Schizosaccharomyces pombe: one gene and its partners. Changing the gene in region 3 together with the main gene of any one other region gives a genetic interaction. Each region holds a gene or a part of one and is shown on either strand. Other genes may lie near its edges. The genes, in order: zds1, omh6, emc10 and asl1.

The links.
Region 1: mutations in emc10 (region 3) and zds1 together harm fitness less than expected from each alone (positive genetic interaction), as found in Schizosaccharomyces pombe (one large-scale study listed by BioGRID).
Region 2: mutations in emc10 (region 3) and omh6 together harm fitness more than expected from each alone (negative genetic interaction), as found in Schizosaccharomyces pombe (one large-scale study listed by BioGRID).
Region 4: mutations in emc10 (region 3) and asl1 together harm fitness more than expected from each alone (negative genetic interaction), as found in Schizosaccharomyces pombe (one large-scale study listed by BioGRID).

The regions. Positions count from the first base shown.
Region 1 is NC_003424.3:4,564,708-4,571,644, reverse strand, and holds zds1 (zds family phosphatase type A regulator Zds1), read right to left. Parts: upstream 5,308-6,937; 5' UTR 4,339-5,307; coding exon 1,522-4,338; 3' UTR 1,148-1,521; downstream 1-1,147. Other genes in the region: SPOM_SPAC12B10.01C (ubiquitin-protein ligase E3), read left to right, coding at 1-1,147; slm1 (cytoskeletal signaling protein), read left to right, coding at 6,255-6,937. UniProt on the Schizosaccharomyces pombe protein: Has a role in establishing cell polarity. Also required for maintenance of cell wall integrity, sexual differentiation, calcium tolerance and cell morphology. Involved in Ras-MAPK signaling pathway at cell cortex. Has a role in meiosis.
Region 2 is NC_003424.3:3,391,199-3,395,806, forward strand, and holds omh6 (alpha-1,2-mannosyltransferase Omh6), read right to left. Parts: upstream 3,047-4,608; 5' UTR 2,752-3,046; coding exon 2,285-2,751; exon of another isoform or gene 2,214-2,284; coding exon 1,927-2,213; intron 1,909-1,926; exon of another isoform or gene 1,831-1,908; coding exon 1,688-1,830; 3' UTR 1,493-1,687; coding exon of another isoform or gene 711-1,492; 3' UTR 552-710; downstream 1-551. Other genes in the region: U3 snoRNP-associated protein Utp7, read right to left, coding at 1-192; SPOM_SPAC959.11 (uncharacterized protein), read right to left, coding at 711-1,076; tRNA-splicing endonuclease subunit Sen15, read left to right, coding at 1,061-1,492; pdi4 (protein disulfide isomerase), read right to left, coding at 4,487-4,608. UniProt on the Schizosaccharomyces pombe protein: Probable mannosyltransferase involved in O-glycosylation of cell wall and secreted proteins.
Region 3 is NC_003424.3:5,204,600-5,207,791, reverse strand, and holds emc10 (protein Emc10), read left to right. Parts: upstream 1-1,555; 5' UTR 1,556-1,656; coding exon 1,657-2,328; 3' UTR 2,329-2,637; downstream 2,638-3,192. Other genes in the region: terminal uridylyltransferase Cid1, read right to left, coding at 1-489, 591-731, 836-1,079; protein tyrosine phosphatase Pyp2, read right to left, coding at 2,834-3,192.
Region 4 is NC_003424.3:191,391-195,993, forward strand, and holds asl1 (O-glucosyl hydrolase Asl1), read right to left. Parts: upstream 2,661-4,603; 5' UTR 2,499-2,660; coding exon 906-2,498; 3' UTR 538-905; downstream 1-537. Other genes in the region: mevalonate kinase Erg12, read right to left, coding at 2,729-3,868, 4,118-4,192.

The DNA of each region.
Region 1 (6,937 bases), 640 kb from region 3:
CATACTTCAATTTGTCAGCTTACATCGCCAGAAAATTCGTATTTCTCGGAAAAAAATATTTAATTACGCTTTGCATTTGCTTGCAACTTATGCGGCTTCTGAAAATATTCTTGAAATAGAATACGAAGATGAAGTTGGTTCAGGTCTTGGGCCCACTTTGGAGTTCTATACTTCAGTATCTAAAGAATTTACCTTAAATTCTCTCGATATTTGGCGGAATGATCAACCCAACTCTAAATTTGTGTACCAAGCGTCTGGACTTTTTCCTTCTCCTATTCCATTATTAGGGTCCAGTCCAGAAAATGAAAGAAAAATTTCGTTGTTCTTTGCTCTTGGACAGTTCGTTGCACGCTCGATTTATGATTCAAGGATAATAAGCATTCAGTTTAATCCACTTTTCTTTGCACGAAATATACCTTTAACCATTTCCTCTGTAGCGAAAGTTGACAAGGGCTTAGCTAACTCGTTACGATATTTAGAGAAATTAATACCGGGTAAAAACCCTACAAACGCCGAGACGGACATTAAGCTTGAAGACCTTCATCTCGATTTTACTCTACCGGGATTTCCGTCTATTGAACTCATACCTGATGGAGCTAGTACACCTGTGACAACATTCAATGTGAGTGATTATTTAAATTATGTCATTGACTATACTGTTGGAAAGGGTGTTCAACAACAATTAGAAGCATTTCAAAATGGGTTTTCCAGCGTTTTTCCTTATACTTCTTTGCAAGTTTTGACAGAACATGAATTGGTCACACTATTCGGTACTGTCGATGAGGATTGGAGTTACGCGACCTTGATGAAATCTATAGTAGCAGATCACGGTTACACCATGGAAAGTCCTACAATCCAGAGATTACTGACTTTGATGAGTCAAATGAATTTTCAAGAACAAAGAGACTTTTTGCAATTTATTACTGGAAGCCGAAAACTTCCTATTGGAGGATTTGCTGGCCTAAATCCCCCGTTAACTGTTGTTAGGCGCTTAAATGAACCTCCTTATGTACCTGATGATTATCTTCCAAGCGTGATGACTTGTGTGAATTATTTGAAACTACCTGAGTATTCTTCAAGTGAGGTTTTAGGAAGTCGACTTTCTAAGGCTATTTTAGAAGGACAGGGCAGTTTTCATTTATCCTAAGCATTGTTTAGAAAAAAAAAGTTATTGTATAGCACTTCAGTAGCGTTCTATGATTACTTCAAAATAGAGGCTATGTACAAATATAAAGCGAAAAAGAATTGGTAATTTATTATAGAATGGGTAACTTCGTACTCCCCTTACAATGTAAAGTAGCATAGCGAATGAAATTCATTAGAAACTTATGCATTGAGTAAGAATTTTATATTTAACTCATGAAAATAAATAACCACCTGCTTCCAGAAAGTGTTGGTGAACAAGATACAAATTTTTAAAGACAATGAAGACCCTGTAACATATAACAAAAGTCGCCAAATGCTAATAATTAACCAATGAGGAAAAATGTTAGACCAACGAATAGCAGTAGGGTAAAATGATTATTTAGCATTCTTTGAAACTTTTTGAATATTTTGAGAAACGGTATGAATAGTCGATCCTTTCCTATTAAGATTTCGCTTACGCTGATCTCCAAATTGATAACTGAGATTCTCCAGCTCGTTTTTTACATTTTCTGCTGAAAACTCTGAACGCCTTTGTTGTCCATTAATGTCTTTGCGTATTGGTTTAGCAGTAGACTGTTGTACATTATTCATCGGGCGATTTGAGCTAATTCGAGAAATTAAATCTAAGTATGAATACATAAAGTTACTTAAGAGAACTTGTTGAAACAATGGGCGATGCGCGTTTGACAACTTTATATGAGAGAGACGATAAATGGCACGTTCAGTACAAATTGGAAAACGACTCCAGTAATAATCCTTATCAGGAATAAACGTTTTTGGTTCCGTACTCTTTTCATCACTTTGTTGATCGGTACCTTCGTCATCTGTCACTGTCTGACACTTAGCTTCTGCGACAGAAGTGGTATTGGGCAATTCACTAGGTGCGGAAATTGGCTTTGCTTTTGGTGGGGCATCATTATGCGGTGGAGAAGAAGATACAGGGGGTATTTCCGTCTGCTTTTTCTTCGAGCCAAATAAAGATCCAAAAATGCTTTCCTTGTCTCGGTCCTTTTTAAAAGAAGAAGCAGACTTTGAAGAAGAAGAAATTTGGTCATTCTTCTTTTTCTGTTTATCTTTTTTGTGTTCTTTGTGTTCTTTATCAGAATCACCAGACACAAAAAGACGGCCCCAGGACCTCTTGGTTTTCTTTGATTCAGAAGAGGGTGGACTTGGTGAAGAAGTTGAACCTTTGTTAGCAGTGGATGATTTTTGTTTTGGAGTAACGGGAACTTGAGTGCTTTTTAAAATATTGTTTTTCGATGGCTTATTAGGACCGGTTTCAGGAGTCGGAATATGACGCTCATGAAAAATCTCTGGCTTTTTTGAGGACTCTAAAGAAACGTTCAAAGAAGAAGGAATAGGCGTGGGTATCCTAGTAGGCTTTGGACTTAAAGTCCTACCAGGCACAGGAGTAGGGACTCTAGGAGGTATTACGGAAGGAGAAGCGTTCGGTTCAGAATAATTCTTTTCCTCACGGACTACTGAAGGTGTATAACCCTCAGTTTTATTATTAGAAGGTAATGAGTCATCTGCTTTTTTATCAATCTCAACAGAATTTTCATGTTTATCCTCCAGTACCGACGACTTCGACGGAACAGAATCTTCAGATTTATCTTCTGGTACCGACGACTTTAATACAACAGAATCTTCAGCCTTATTTTCTGGTACCGATGATTGCAACGCAATAGCATTTTCCGGTATACCTTCCGTTGCCGACGGTTTCGACGCAATAGAATTTTCAGATTTATCTTCTGGTACCGACGACTTTAATACAACAGAATCTTCAGCCTTATTTTCTGGTACTGGCGGTTTCGATGTACTAGACTTTTCAGGTTTGTTTTCCGGTGCCGGTGCTTTCAATGCGAGAGTACCTTCGGATAACGAAGATTCAGATGCAACAGCACTTTCAGCTTTATTCTCCGAAACATACAGCTTATCGATCTTATTCGTCTCTTTATGTAAGGTTGTATCTGCAGAGGCGTTATCAATCTTTGGTGGATTCGTCAAGGATAAAACCTCTAGAGCTTGGTCAGATTGGTTTTCAACATCGTCCGATGGATTTTGAGAGTTTGACAGCGCCGAAGTTCTAGAGTCATCCGACTCAACAAGTTCATCAGCAGATATGGGCTCTATTTTATGTAGAGGCGAAGTATCGGTCGGCTTTTGCAAAATAGAGTGACTACGGTTGCCAGATAGAGTTGATGTTTTACCCCGGTGGATAGTCCGAATCGAAGCACCTGTCCTTCGAATTGTCGTCCTTGAGGAACGTTGAAGAAAATGATTAGGAGATACTAGTAAAGGCGAATCTTCGGGAGAGCCGTTGCTCATGCCATCAACTAAAGAAACCATCCTATGGGGATCACGTGCAAGAGATTCCAAATGCTCTAACTCATTCAAGCGTAAAGATCTATGCCTTTTGAGATACGCTTTCTCCACGATCGGACTGCCATCTTGGTAATTAATTACAGCATCGTCAGCTTTAACCTGTCGTGACAACAATGACTTTCTTCTTCTTAGGGAACGAATGTGCTCAAGAGGACTTGAAGATGTGTCTGTAGCAGTAGGGGACTTAAGGTTTTTAACTTGAAGGTCCAAAAACGATTTCCAACCAGTCGGGTTCAATTCAGGATGTAAATTTGCTGGTACCCAGAATAGGGTAGATGCATCTTGTTCGGTTTCAGGTGGGGACATCGCAACTGACCAGTCAGTTGGAATCTCAGGATCATCAGCTCCTTGCAGAGATATTCTTCGAAGATGTGTTAGAGTTTTCCTCTCTTTATCCAACTCTTCTTCAGACATCCCATCATGAATTTCCGAAAAAGAAGGGACAGATGACTGAGCATCAGAGGAGGAATCCTCATCATCGGCAGCTTCGTTACCGCTAGAAGTCTCCGCTTCTTCTGTGGTATCGTTTTCATTGTTGTTTTCATTTGATATTGTGATATTTTGATCACTCAATAAGTTAGCTTCATTATCAGGGCTCACCAACTTCGAACGAATTTCTACCGACGGATCATCTGTTGAGCGAGTTAAAGAGGAATTATTCTCAAGTGGTTCAGATGAAGAGCCAGATAGCTGGGTTGTGTCATGTTCATTACATTCAGTAGATTCCTGAGAAGCAACGAAAGCAGGATCTTTAGGGTCACTTTTAGTCTCAATGGATAGAGTATTAGAAACTGAAGAACTAGACATTATTTTTTATTTAAAAGGAAAAAGAAAAGAAAGAGAACCAATCAGTTGAAAAAATAGTTTGACAGAATTAATCAAATAAAAAAGAAAGAAAGGAATCGTATGCCAAGTTTGTGAGAGAATTAAAAAAATAAGAAGAAATAGGAAGTTAAGTTGCAGAGGAAATTGAAGTTGCAATGCTCTCAAAATGTATCCTAGAAATGAACAAGTTGAAAATATTTAATGAAAAGCAAAGTAAAAACAAAAAAAGAAAAAGGGGCAAATCAAAGGATTTGAATAAACAAGTACTTTATTATACTTTAATTTGAGAAGAAAGAAAGAAAAGTAGAATAAAATGGTTTCAAATATTATTTACAAAGGAAAATGAGACACCCCAATACGTGAGTAATAATCACAATAGGTCTTCTTTCAATCTTCCCACCGTTGCCAATCCGTATTTGCGAAACAAAAGTCCAGTTTTTTTTCGTTTTTAAAAAAAAAAAGGAAAATAAATAAAATGTTCCAATTCTAGTAAGGTTGGGTACTAGACGGATAATTCGTCAATACAAATCAGAAAATAGCCTTTGGCCGCATGGAATAGCTTTATGGAAATAACAGTTTTCAACTAAGGAATTTAAAAAGCAATTTCATGAACAGATCCGCTCAGAAACAAGCACAGCCGACCGTCCGTCAAACAGCACAGCAACAATGGGGCGCCTTGGAATATTAAAGTAATTTAATTAATTACTCCGATCAAAAAAGGGAAATGAAAGAAATGCAAGAAAAACACCTCAATGATTAACAAAGCGTAGAAAGGAATAATTTGGAAAAACAAACAATCCGAGTTTCATACAACACTGGTTTTCCCAATACAGACGAAGTAAACACACGAGATTCAAAAACGAAATCAAAAAAGTAACTTCTTTTTTTTCACAGCGAATGCTATTCCCTCCTTCAAGGGTAAAATACGAACTATGCAAATGTTTGGGTGCTGGAAGGATGCTCTGGAATACCAAGACACCTTTATTGCATCTCAGCAGCTTATAGTGCCGCAGCGCAATCGTCCTTCATCACTTGTGTCGAAGACTCGTACAATTTATATAACGCAAAACAACGAAGTACAGTATTAGAAAATGTAAACAAAAGGTACTTTAGTGTATTAGGTTGGATAAGTTGAGTAGGAAAAAAAAAAGAGCTAAAACCTATCTATGTTTAATTTCTTTCATAGCGTTATTTTTTTAGTAAAAAATTTGCAATATGAGTGCTTAGCGACATAGAAAAATGGCGAAAATTCGACTAATTAAGTATTTTTGAAAAGGAGTACAAAGTATAATATTTATATTTTCTGACCTCAAAACTTGATTTCTACTAGTTCCATCATTCTTCCTGCTTTTCCCTATTCAAAGAAAATAGACATATTTATCCAGTCCAACGGAGGCAGTTTCTTGAGTTACTTCCTTATAGCAGAACCAAAGAAATTGAAACGTTTGAATAAAAGAAGAAAAACCTTTTCCTTGGTTCAAACTCCCTATCAACTATAATTTCCCAATAATGTATCAATTGCTCATTAAAGGTACAAAATACCTATGTTCCCAAGCAAGCACCTATTGTTTGCCATAACTAACGAGCATATCAAGCCTTTGTTTGATGATGGTCGATAATTTTATAAATATACAAGTCGAACATACATTGCAAGTTCAAATTTTGCTTCACCTGTTTCTTTGACATTTTTTCTTAAGCACTGAATGTTCTATTTCCAACAAAACCCTTTACTTCAAGTACCACCAATTTCCTATTATGAGTTACGTTAAACAGAATACCAACCCAGAACATTTATATCGGTACAGCAAACCCCTTCAGGAGGGTGATTGGCGTCATACGAGCAGATCGTTTTCTTTAACAAGTTCCAAGTCAAAAAAGCTTCACCAAGAACCAACAAGATGGAACTTTCAGGGAAATCGGAATTTCCAACCAGGACGGAGATTCCAAACCAGGCTTCAAACGGAGATGCAGTCCCAAACACAGACGCATATATGGGACTTTGCAACTCCTTGACTTATCGGTTTGAAGGATGGAGACATTTGGTGGAAAATCTGATTGCATTCTTTAAGCAATTAGAGTCAACGTCAAAAAACAATGCAAAGGAGTATATGAAATTGAGCAAAGTTATTGTCCATCCTTACAAAGATGCTAATGTATTTGAAGAACACGGAATTCAAGATATTTTTGCAGCGCTTCGAGACCAAACGGCTGCCATCGCTTCGGATAGCGAGCAAATATCTATCCAGTTGCCAGGTACTATCATCAATATATTAGAACTTCTTCGTGAAGACCTTCGTGAACACTGTAAGAAAATCGCAGCGGAAGGTACAAAAGGTGTGAAAGTAGTTGAAAAGCAGCGTGCGGAAACTCAAAAGTATCTTTCCTTACTAGATCGGGCTCTTTTACCATGGAGAGCATCCAGTCCACCTACTGTAAACATTAAGAACGACCCTTTTATTGTAGATAGACAAGTGCTAAACTGTTTGGCTCGACAAGTTCAAGAAGAGAACAATCACTCCGTAGCAGTGGCACAGCTTCAAGAATTTTCTTTTCGTTTCGAGCAAAACCTTATCGCAAAAAT
Region 2 (4,608 bases), 1.8 Mb from region 3:
ACCGGGATTATCTTCATGTAAGATTTCGGTTTTCGCCAAGGAAGACTCAACATTCTCAATTCTCTCCTCGATTTTCTGAATATTGCTTCGAAGCTTTTTATCCTTGATTTTCTTTGGATTCAGCTTGCGCCCTCTAGAATATTTTTTTGTAGAAGCATTAACATCCTCCAAATTCAACTTTTGAGCAGACATAATGCTAACTAAGTAAAGATATTAGTGAGGAAAAAAGATTTTTTTTTCTTTTTAGGCCTGATTATACAAAAAAAATGAAGCAGTTTTCTAATAAACAATTCTTTCCAAAATTTAGGTATCTCCCTTAGTCAAAAAGTTAGAAACCCTTCAATTTTTACACAAATGTATTATGTAAACGAAGTGATAGTTAAAAAATTCAAACACTACGTTCGACTTCGATTCTATGACCCAACAGTAGGTTTAGGTTGAGGGCAGGTGGAATGTAGTTCTAGGAATAGGATTTGTGCGTTCTTATTGTAAAAAATCAGAAACTACTACTAACACAATTAGATACAAACCACAATTATTTACAAATAATACAAGTATAATAAAATAAAATTTCATAAAAATTAAGTATGCAAAATAAAAACAAGAAAATTTTAAAAGTAAACCCGAAACCCAGTAAAAACATTATAAGTTCAGACAATGGCCAATGCCAAAACTGCGAAATGAACCATGAAACGAAAATAGCTCAGGAATTAATTCTCCTGCTTTTTGGTCATGGAAAGAAGCTGGATCGAATTGGATATATCGCTCATCTTCGAACCGCTATTATGAGCACTTCTTAGTACGCTCTGCGTAGTGTTGTAATCATCAATACTCTGTAAAAGGACGTTTTGTTGGTATTTGTTGTTTTTAGAGGAGTTTTTGTTTTGTTTTGAGGATTTCTTAACTCCTTTTGAAGTCTGTTTAGGCTTTTTTGACTGCTTGTTCCTTTTCTGTGCCATTTGGTTGAAGTTAAAAGTTTTATCACGGAGGCGATAATTCATTTTTTCAACAAAATTTTCCTTCTCAAAAGTAAAGATATATTTATTATAAACAAATACACATGCAACATAATACATTTCTCCCTAACGATGCTGTAGAAGAGCAAAAGCAAAATCCATACTATGGAATACTGAGAGCAGTGGAAACCGACTTAAGGCTCGGTCAACGTTGGTGTGAATTAAAGGTACATGTTCTTGATATTGACTTAAAAACAAAAAGGCCTTTACTCTCAGGGATTCCCGTAAATGGACAGCTCAAAGACAAATTGCAATATGTTCTGCCGCTTTACCTCCAAGAGACAATTTCGATCGAGTTTCTGTCCTCTGTTTTCGATTCTATGAAGAAACTGAGCCTTCCACTTGTAAAGGATGCTCGAGGTCTTTCTGGAGATGAGTTTTTCCTATACCTGGGAATCATGTGTTCTGACTCAACGATAGTATATTACAAGATCACCGATGGACTTATAAAACCAAGGCAAAATGATGAAGAATAAACACATGATATATACATATTTATTGATTAGGATTGAAAAACGGAAAGACAACGCTATAATTTTACCACTACCAGATTAATTTTTCACTTCAAGTGTCTCAACGTTTGTAAATGAAAATGCACATATTACAATAACTTTCATAAAACAAATTCGTATGAACAAAAATTTTCTGTAAAGCTCATTCATCAATTAATATCACAAACATGCACATCTTCCTGTGTATGGAATAGTTTCTGGGCAATAATGAACATCATCGTTTAAGAAAAATCCCACTGATTCCATATGATTAGCACGCGCTCTTAAAACACCAAATGCTGCTGAAAGGATATCAGACTCGGCTAAATAAATGTCAGCAAAAAGTACAACGTGAAGCATTTATATTAGAAACAGGTTAAATAAAGTCATTTCCAAAATTGAAGAAGCAATTTACTTACTCCAGCGATGATAATATGTTCCTCCTGAACCAAGCAAGTAATTAATTAGGTTGGTGTAGGTCTGATTATGCCGAATTTGCTTTAGAGATAAAATTTCATTAAAAGGCCAGTATTTACAATAGGTGTAGTTGTTACTATAAACCCAGATATTGCTGAAATCTCCTTGAGTGTTTAAAATTTTGTATTCTTCAATTGCCTCTTCCATAGCATATATACCAGAGTGTTTACGTTCACAGACGTGGTTTGTAAATACAATGTCGCTGTCTTTGAAAGTAGAAAATATATCTCTGAACAAAAATATTAGTTAGGTTTCCTGAAAAAGAAGAACGAAATAAACAAGTTTTACCGAGTTTCTTACTTTTTTTCTTCACAAACCAATTTGAGCCCGGGTTCTATTCTCCAAACATAATCGTATTCCAATTGAGGATGATATAATAAAGATCGAACTACCCAATCTTGAAAACTGTGAAACAAAGGAGAGTATACGTAAGATAGATTCTCTTGAGCAAGTGCATCTGCTCGTTGTTGATAAAGTCGATTGTTTTCAACTAGGGGTTTTACTTGAGAAAGATCCCAATGCACTAAGTAAGAGATAGTTAGAATAAATTGTAAATGATTGGTATAAGTTATTCCCTTCGTACCGTATTCACAATGACCAGACGCAATCGTGCTTGTCGTACTCATAAAGTATTCCGTAAACTCATCCATGCCGTAAAACGTCCAAGGATAATGAAACCTCTTATTAAATCTATCCTCTACGCTACGCATCGTGCGCAACACTTCCCCAAGTTCAGCATTACTAGAAAACAGAATTAGAAAGTACATCTCAAATGGCACCGTACGCGGTAAACATCAGAAAAGAAGCACTCAAATTGGAGCTTTGAGGTTCATTAAGAATCACATATACATTGTTGGGTTCATTTACAGAGAATCCATTCAACCAGGTAAATACAATTGGTAGTATGGAAAGTAAAAGTTCGTAAAACATAATGAAGCTTAAACACGAGCAGAACTTTCCCTGTTATGAGAAGTAACTAGTTCAACTAACGTATGACTCCAAAAGTAACGCATAGAAAGTGGATTTGAAGGAATTTAACTGAAATTGCCTAAGACAATGGTTAAGGGCAAATGTTAATACCCTGCTAGAGATTTGACCTTAGAAAAGAGAGCTCTTTGAGTATAAATATTTATTTTTAGCAAATCAATTTTTGTATACAATGTTTGATGGGTAGATCACTGAAAGAATCTGCTAACGAGCATAATCTTATAAATGACATTTGCATAAGCGTACTGATAGTCGCTATGTCGAGCTGTTATTACTGTTGGAATATTTAAGTTCTATCAAAGGAATTATAAAATTTGCATTCGTCTTTTATAATGGTTTTTAATGTCTATTAAACAATTCATTGTTGCTGATGAATGTAAACAAAAGCAATAAGTTTAAGTATAGGAAAGCTTCAGCTGTTCTAGAATACAAACTCAGTAAAATGTTATAAAATAATATTTCATAAACCCAAGTGGCATATGTATCTTAAGACATTTTCCCAATATCTGCAAACTAATTCACTACTTTCGATCAAATTATATACTGTGGTTGTTCATAATGCACAATCTTATTTTAACGAGCCTTTTTTTTTGCTTTCTGGAAACACCAAAATTCCTAGACTACTAAGGGTAAAACAGTCACTAGGGTTAGGGTTGTAATTTTCAACAAACTATATAAAGTCTCGTTTGCACTTCGTTATAACCTATCATGAATCTGAAGTTACATTGTTCAGATTCTTTCGAGAATCTTGCGTGTAACATGGTTGGCGTGTAGAGGTTGACAAGAGTACAGACAGGGCGGCGATTGTCCTTGCAGTTTCGACTGCAGGTTGAGAGTTGGCGTCTTGCCATGAAAATTGACTAAAGGATGCTGCGTAGCCTAGCCAACAGATTCTAAAACGATTGGAGTGATCCTGATCCTTCTCCTTTGGAGAGGAATTGGTTGATCCTCTGACAACTGTATATTCCTAAATCTTTCGCTACATGATCTCTGGATCCTTGCAGTTGGGTAAAACCATACAGTTGACATTTTTCATTTGGGTAGTTCTTCTTTTATGATAGTTTAATCATGTGTATGAATACGATTAATTATTTTATTACAATTTTACTTTGTCATTTAAAACTGAATTTTTTAAACTTCCAATTCGCTGTTAATGAACAAATAAAAATGGGCGTTGTGATGTTTTGATGAGAAACAGGCTGACCTGTCGATGTAGTTTTCGTTTGTACAGCTTGACCGTTTGAGGTAGGTTGCCAGTATGGTATTTTGTATACTTAAACTGAATTTTTAATGATAATATTCTCGTCATATTTTGAGGTACTTTGTTTTCGTGTATAAGTCCTTGTCAAATTAAATGGACTACAAAGTTTTTAACAATCAGTTTTGTGGGCTGTTTGTAGCAACATCACAAGTGTATTAGCAATAAATGATTTAGAAATGCTACCCTAAGAGAGTATATAAAAAAAACCTTTCGCTCCTTTTCATCGTTTACTAGGTCGTTGAATTGTCAACATTTCAGTCTGATTTGGCAATTACAAGCGAATGATAAAAACCAAAAACTGGTTGCTTGTTCAGCAGTTGTCGACGCCGACGGGAAAGCCTGCTAGCTGAAATAATTGTCAGGATGCTCAATATTA
Region 3 (3,192 bases):
AAGTTACTACCTTTTCCCGTGGCTCGAACTTATAAGCATAAAATCTAAAAAAGCCATGAAGTAAACTTCCCAATGAGCTATAATTTTGGGAAGGAGGGATATCTTCCAGTTTATCGTCAAAACCAACGTCAAATCCATCAACTATCTTTTCTTGTTTCAAAGGTGACAACAGTAAATTAGGAAAGACGGGAGGCTTGATAACGTGAATCAGATAGTAAAGAACCATTAGGACGTAACCATAACTGGAAAGAGTTCCAAAGTAAGGAGAGTTGATTTGCTTCCGTTTGGCCCAATGCTTAACAAGAAGGACCATGGGTTTTAGGCGAGCATCTAATTTTGTATATGAAGAAAGTAAAAGCGTATTATGAATAGCTAGACGATTGTTAAATCCAATATCACATTGAAACGAAGCCCCAAATCCATTTTTCGTATCAGATGTTAATTTGATAATGGGAATTCTTGCCCTTTGTAAAAATTTTCCTTCAAATCCTGTCGATAGTTAGTTATGCGAGCCAACTGGAAAGGAAAAAAACAATATTCAGAGATAGTTTGTCTAAACTGAATAACTTTTAATGAATAATTATACTTACCTTCAGCTATAAGCTCTTCATAGAATTGGAGCGCAATTGTATCACTTTGGACGCGCGAATCCATAAGCACGCACAAATCCATATCCGAATTTTTAAGTGCTAAACCAGATTCCAAACTTCCAAAGGCTACCAATTCAGCATCTAAGTCACATATCATTAGAATTGGACATTATCAATATTTGGTAAAGTCTCCACTCTCGTTAACTACATAATTGAGACAGTCCTAAATTTATATTCAAACATACCAGGGGATATTCGTTTAAGGCATAGCCGAAGTGTATCTAATGCCGCTCTCTTTTCTTTAAACTCTTTGTCACTAATTTTAATCTCATTATACACTTCATAGCAAAACTTCGTAAATTCCTTGTGCGAATTAGGGACCTTTTGGTAGCTACAACTTTTTGAAATATGTAAATTTTTGTGAATTTCTGCCTCAATCTCTTCAACTGTGTGAACACCAGGAATAAATTGTGCAGAAGAAATGTTCATATTCGTCTACTGCTCAAAAGGTGAAAGTGGCAAACTTATTCACTTTCTCTTTGAGTAATTATTCACTGTTTAATGGTCTTTGATGCTTCCTTTTACTAATTGAAGCAAGTCAGTTACAGTGTTTGCTTTTGGCAAAAGCTCCTTTACCAATTGATATGTTACTTAATAGCAGTAGGGGTGACAGCGCTAATGGATGAGGAATGAGCTATAAAAAGCAGTAAAGTAATTGAAAAAAGTTAGGAAGAAGAAATCCTAAGGTCCAAATGTTTTCTTTCTCACTTAAGAAGCGAATGTTGTATGGCTAGTAATGGTTTATGTGAAAAAGGAAAATTAGCAAATAATCCGTTGAAAGCCTTAATCATGAATATTTCTAACAATAACTACTAATATTTAGTTTATTTTTATGTCAGCGAGCTATCTTCGTCACAGTTAAGCAAAATAGCTTCACTTGATGATTATGGACGAGCTTAACACCTAAACACTACGCTCTTCCTACTTTCAGATACAAAAAGTAATTTTCGTCCGGAAAAGATAATATATTTTATTAATCTCATAGATTTTACGAAATTTACTAAAAATGCTAGGACAAGGCTTGATTTTTATCAGTTTAGCCTTTGTTGCTCATGCATTAGAAATTCCTATTTCTTGCGCTGTATCACATAATGAGCAAACAGAAATATTTCCACATGGTACTATTGATATCCCAGAAATGACATTTCGTCCTTCGGACTCACAAATTGATTGGAGTAATCTTTCTCACTCTGATTTTGTACAATGTGGAGTATACGAAGATTCTACCAACACATGGCTTGCAGGCGCCAGCAAATACAAAATTGATGAAATAAAAACCCTTCCAAAAGTACCTAGAGACCACTATATCATACTTTGTGATTCATCAGAAAGCAATGAGATTGCAAAATTTACTCAAGTGGTCCACTCATTTGATTTTTCATCCGACTCAGAAAGTGCTGTAGTCGAGCAATTGCATCCTTCTTCTCCAATTCCAATTTTAACTACTGCTGTCAGAAAAAAGGGATCACGTCCATCTAAACCCCAGAAGGAAAAACAAGGAAATAAACAGGGTTCTAAAACCGAAGAATCTCCAAATGTGGACGAAGATGAATTAGAGTCCGAACCTGAGGAAAAGACATTTTTCCAAAAATATGGTTTATATCTCATCCCGATATTGTTTCTGATAATTATGTCTGGTAACAATGCAAATCAACAGGCAGCAAATACGGCGAAATAAACGAGTCATTATATATATGCCTTAAAACAATTGCGTCTCGGCTACGATAATTTTTTGATTATTGCTACTACTTACTGTGCTCTTTACAAATATTCTAATTCATCTATTTCCATTCAATAATACTGCTATGTGCCAGATGTACGATACTTAATAGTACTTTAAAATCTATACAAACATTTGTAATGAAATATCGTATAGGAAAGGTTAAAATAAAAAAGAAGGAAGTTTCTACGTGCACATAACTAATTTAGTCTTTAACAATTATTCCATTCCAACATAAACAAGATTCATTAATAACTAGATATAAACATTCATTACACGCATGAGATAAAATCAATTTTTAACAACAATAAGGAAGGAATTACACATGATTACCGGAGAGTGTGGTTAAGTATTTTTAACATAACCTTCGCGTCAGATAATGTAAAAAATGAGGAATTACACAATCTCACATAAATAGAACATAGTGTGTACAAACACAGAAAATTAAAGAACAGTCGTTTCGTTAAGTCATCAAGGGCTTGGAAGCCTGGTTAACGCCGCTATTTAAATAATCCACGACGTCGTAGAGAAATTTGAATTGCTCAAAGTTTTGAACCATTTTCATCCGTTGTGATCTCAACGAGTTAACACAATTGAATATGAAATCTTTTGAATCTTCCAAATTGGTCGTCTTGGGTAAAATGTTTTTTGGTACCTGAAGTATTTGGTCTACAGCAATAAAAGTACCAGTGCGTCCTACGCCTGCTGAACAGTGAACGAACATTGGTCCATCATTGGGAACCTTATCAATACAACGTATGATTCCCGTGATGCTTTCAATATCTGGATGGGTTTTGTCAAACCACGTGTGCACCCAAAAGT
Region 4 (4,603 bases), 5.0 Mb from region 3:
GTCCGGTTGAAAACATTTGTAAGAGGGGCATGAGTAGAGTTTCTTTTTATGATTACAGTGAGTAGAGCAGGTTAAGAATCTAGTACTAGATTACTCGGCGTAAGTTAAATCTGCTGCAAAGAACTATGCAAAAAAAAGGTTACTTTAATAAATTTTTCGCAAGAGATTCGAGATAACTTTTTCTTTTAATATCTGCTAATTAAGTTTGTGATGTCTCTTAAATTGCTCATGCTTCTAATATCCTATAGTTCAATAAGCCTTTTCTTGTTCGTGTGTCCAAAGTTGCTAAGACCTCCTTTTGAAAAGAGGCAAACAAGCATGTAAAGAACACCCAGATATCAAACCACCCACAATGGCGCAATGGAGAAATAGTTGTTTTATCATTACAGCAGTCAATTATGCATTTGTTTTCATTTTATAGACGAGACTTTCGCTTATTATTTACCTTTATACTACAGATCATCAACAATGTCAGCAAATAAAGTTAAACGACTTTATCAAGAGTTCCAAAGCTTACAGAAAAGATTACTAATAAAATTTAAAAGACATTTAACGACTGTATTAAATTAAAACACGCAGCATATTCATTGAATACACGCTTTAAAAATTGTGACATCAAACACAATGAACTTCATGGTTGGTAAAATAAACGAATGAATAAATGAAAGATCGATGTAATAAGAAGCACATCTCCTATAAGCATAGTTCAGAAAGCTTAAACAATCTGATAGATGGCAGAGTATTCAAAAAAAAGCGACAAAAACCATGAAACAAAATATCATAAAAAAGAGTTTCAGAGCAAGAAGAAATAAGAGTATTTGACAGTTTAAAGAACGAAAAAAAAGCATAAGAATTACCATTATATCTCACAAGATAATTTCCCATTTTGTGTAAATTTAAGGAGTTCAAGAAATATAAATCTCTCCGACTTCACTTAATCCACCAGAGGAACTGATAAGGGCATTGTTATTACCAACACCGGCTCCGAGTTCGGTAGCAGGAGCAAACCAACTGTAACGCTCAACAGATCCATGTCCATCTAAAAAGCCAAGAGCGCTGGTCATCAAAGTCTTAACTTCATCCAATGAAGGTAAATTGCTATCATCCCAGTTGGTGCAAGCAAATTCAGTAAGCCAAATAGGGAGACCGTAATTGGCGAGAGAGTTAATATAATCTTGCAAATTGCTAAAGTCAATACCATACCAATGGCAAGCAATGAAATCGATCTTACAATCAGAGCATGCGCTCATGAATTCAGAAAGCCAATCTTCACCTACGTTACTGATGGCAGGTGATCCCAAATAACCAATGGCACCAGATTCACGAAGAGGTGTTAAGTATTGAAGATAATAACTAGCTGCAGTAGCTGCATCTATAGGATTTCCAGCAGCGGACAAATCAGGCTCATTAAATCCAATGACGGTAGCACCACCAGTGAAAACAGAAGAAGCTGAAGAAAGGCTATTGGCATCATGTTGGTTGAGAACATATTCAAAAGAGGAACTCAGACCAGATGAATAACTACCCCAGTTGTAATACCAGTTGATGCCCTTATTGACAAAGTTATCAGAGTAACCAAGGTCAGTTCCAGGAATCCAGGCCAAACCGCGCTTGCCAGAAACTGAAGAACTAGTAGGAGATGCTGATGCAGAGCTTGAGGTAGCACTGGAAATAGTACTAGAAGCAGCAACAGAAGTGGCACTAGAGACAACAGAGGAAACGACAGCTGAAGAGGAGGCGGCAGCTGAAGAAACAGCAGGAGTACTAACTCCCTTGTTAGCAGCAGAAACACTGGCACTTGCAACTACAGAAGAAAGAGCAATAGATGATGAGGAAGTGGGGACGTAAGATGTAGCAGAGCCAGCTGATATCTCTGATGAAGAAGCAACTGAAGACGAGACAGGAGCCACATAGGATGAAGTTGACGTAGCAACTTCAGAGCTAGCAGGATAAGAACTAGTAACTTCAGTACTAGAAGCAGAATAAGAGCTAGCAACTTCAGTACTAGAAGCAGGATAAGAAGAGCTAGATTCGGAACTGGTAGCAGGATACGAAGTGAAAAATTCAGAACTAGAAGTGGCAGATGTCTCGGGAGTTGATACAGGGACAGAAGTATTGGACCATACGGGTGCAGTAACGTTGTCCATAGTATATAGAGGAGTACTAACAAAAGTGGCAGGGTAGCTAGTGGCAGAGGAACTAGCAGCAGGGGCACTGGTTGTTACAACCACAGATTCCGTAGAGGTAGTAGGTAAAGCCGTTGAAGCACCATCGTCGGACGACTCGGTAACAGAAGCTAAACCAGTGGAGTAAGAAGTATATGAGGAAGATGAGTTAGCACCAGGAACTGCGGTAACATAAACAGTCTCCAAGATAGTCTCATACACGGTTAAAACGCCATCATCATCACGACGGTGATGGCGATGGTTAGGAGCATAGGGCAAAGCTCCAACGGTCGATAAAAAAGCTAAAGCGACGGTCGCGAAAGTAGTACGCATTTTTTTAGAAAATACTAGATAAAACGCGTCTAATACTAAAAAAAGAAAGAAAAGATGAAATTTGGTATATAGTTGATATATAAAAGAGTGGAAAGGAGTGTTGCTAAAGAACGGACAACGACTCTTATAGACTAGCTTCTACTGTGGTGGTTGGTGAACGACAAGCCGCGTTCATTATCAAGCCACTCATATATATACCAGTTATGAAAATTTGATTATACATAAAAACTTTAAATATAATATTTATTAAATTTGCTGAGTAAATTCAATTTTTTAAAATCAAAGTCAGACTCATATTGAGGGAAAAATGAATCTGAGTCGGTTACCACTGAAACACCAGGTCCACCTAATTGAACATCGTAAATAGAATTTTTATGGGCTAATAGTGATTCTTTACATAACTTAAATTCCTCTTCTTTGCACTCAGGTGTTAATAAAGTAATCGTACAACCTCCACCACCGGCACCTGTAAGCTTCGTCCATCCAATTGACTTAGTGGCTTGTAAAACGCGATCAATGGAATAATGGGATACACCCAAGCATTCTAAGAGTTTTTGATTAAGAACAATAAACTCTCCTAACTTTTTAGCGGAGGAGTTTTTATCGCTCTCCGAAGTCAATGCGAGGACGGCAGACTTTGATATGCCATCGATTGCATCTATTATTGAGTCAATCACAGTTGGTAGTCTTTCCTTCAGTTCAAAAACTCCTTGTACAAGTTTTTTAGTACTTTTTGGTTGTTTGGTATCAGTGATCATAACAGATAAGGTATCTTTAGGCTTTAAGAATTCTTTCATGGCACTCTGATGAGCTGTAGCTTTACGAAAAGCGATAAGTCCTCCATTTGTTGCTACTGCATTATCAATACCACTTGGTGTTCCATGAATACAGCATTCACCTAGAAAAGACCAAGCCTCTATCAACGCAAGTGCTTTGTTGTTTTGAAGAGAATTTGAGCTAGGAGGTTCAATATTACCAAAAGCTAGTAGTAAACTTGTAGCGACAACAACTGATATAGTAGCACTACTACCTAATCCAGCACCCAAAGGTACTTGGGAGCTAATAGTTAAAGTACAACCCTGAGAAGGAGAAGACAAAGACGTGAACAAGTAAAGGGTACAAAGCATTGCTGAGTGAATAAGTCCGTTTTCTTCATTTTTTAATAGCTCTCCTAATCCTTGTAAAAGGTCCAGATTGGGAGATGATGCCGGGTGCTGAACGTTTTCCACTGTTACATGCTGCCAAGGTAGCGATTGAAGATTCCATCGGCGTTCGGTCCCTATATCACTCATCACAATTACTATTTCATTGTTATTAGTCGTCTGTAATTTACAGTAACTCCGTAACGATACAGCTGCAGCTAACGCAGTCTAGAAAGTTAGCATAAAAATTTAAATGATCTCCATATTTTCGCTTTAAAATGGCTTAAGATTAGAATCAAAAATAAGCATGGCTATAGCAGAATGACATTTGCGACGACTGTCAAAGTTAAAAGTGGTGTTCGCTTTGCAAATACTATGTTACAAAGAAATCATATATGCATAACAGAGCTGTATCCAGTACTAGCCTGTTAAAAACTCTCGCTAATGTAATCTGCTTTAAACCTTAGGTAAACTTACAGCTCCATATACAACGGCATGTTCCCCAAACAAAATCGTTTTTCCTGGCGACGAAACAATAAGCGATTTTGACATTTCAGAAATTTTTTTTACGTTCAACTTCAAAACACAGTTAAAATAAGGTGATGGTAAATAGGCGACGAAGGTTGGTTATCGACAGATATCTACGCAAACAGGACAAGGTGATGATGGTATTGGAAGTTGTAGCAAAAGATTGGTATTTTAATTAAAAAGTTACTTTATTTGATTTTGTTTTAAAAGTTCTTTTGTAATAAAAATCGCGATGTTATAGTTTTCATATGCGCTAAGGAAAATGACTTTTTAAACGAGGTATACAGCGCAAAACTCGTTAGACATTTACATAAAACCATAAAATACTACATTTATAGCTTATAGCAAGAAAGCAAGAGCAAGTACATATATGATGAGTATTGATAACATAATATTTAAATAGACAGCTAAGCAAATTGAGAAGTAGTGTTCAGG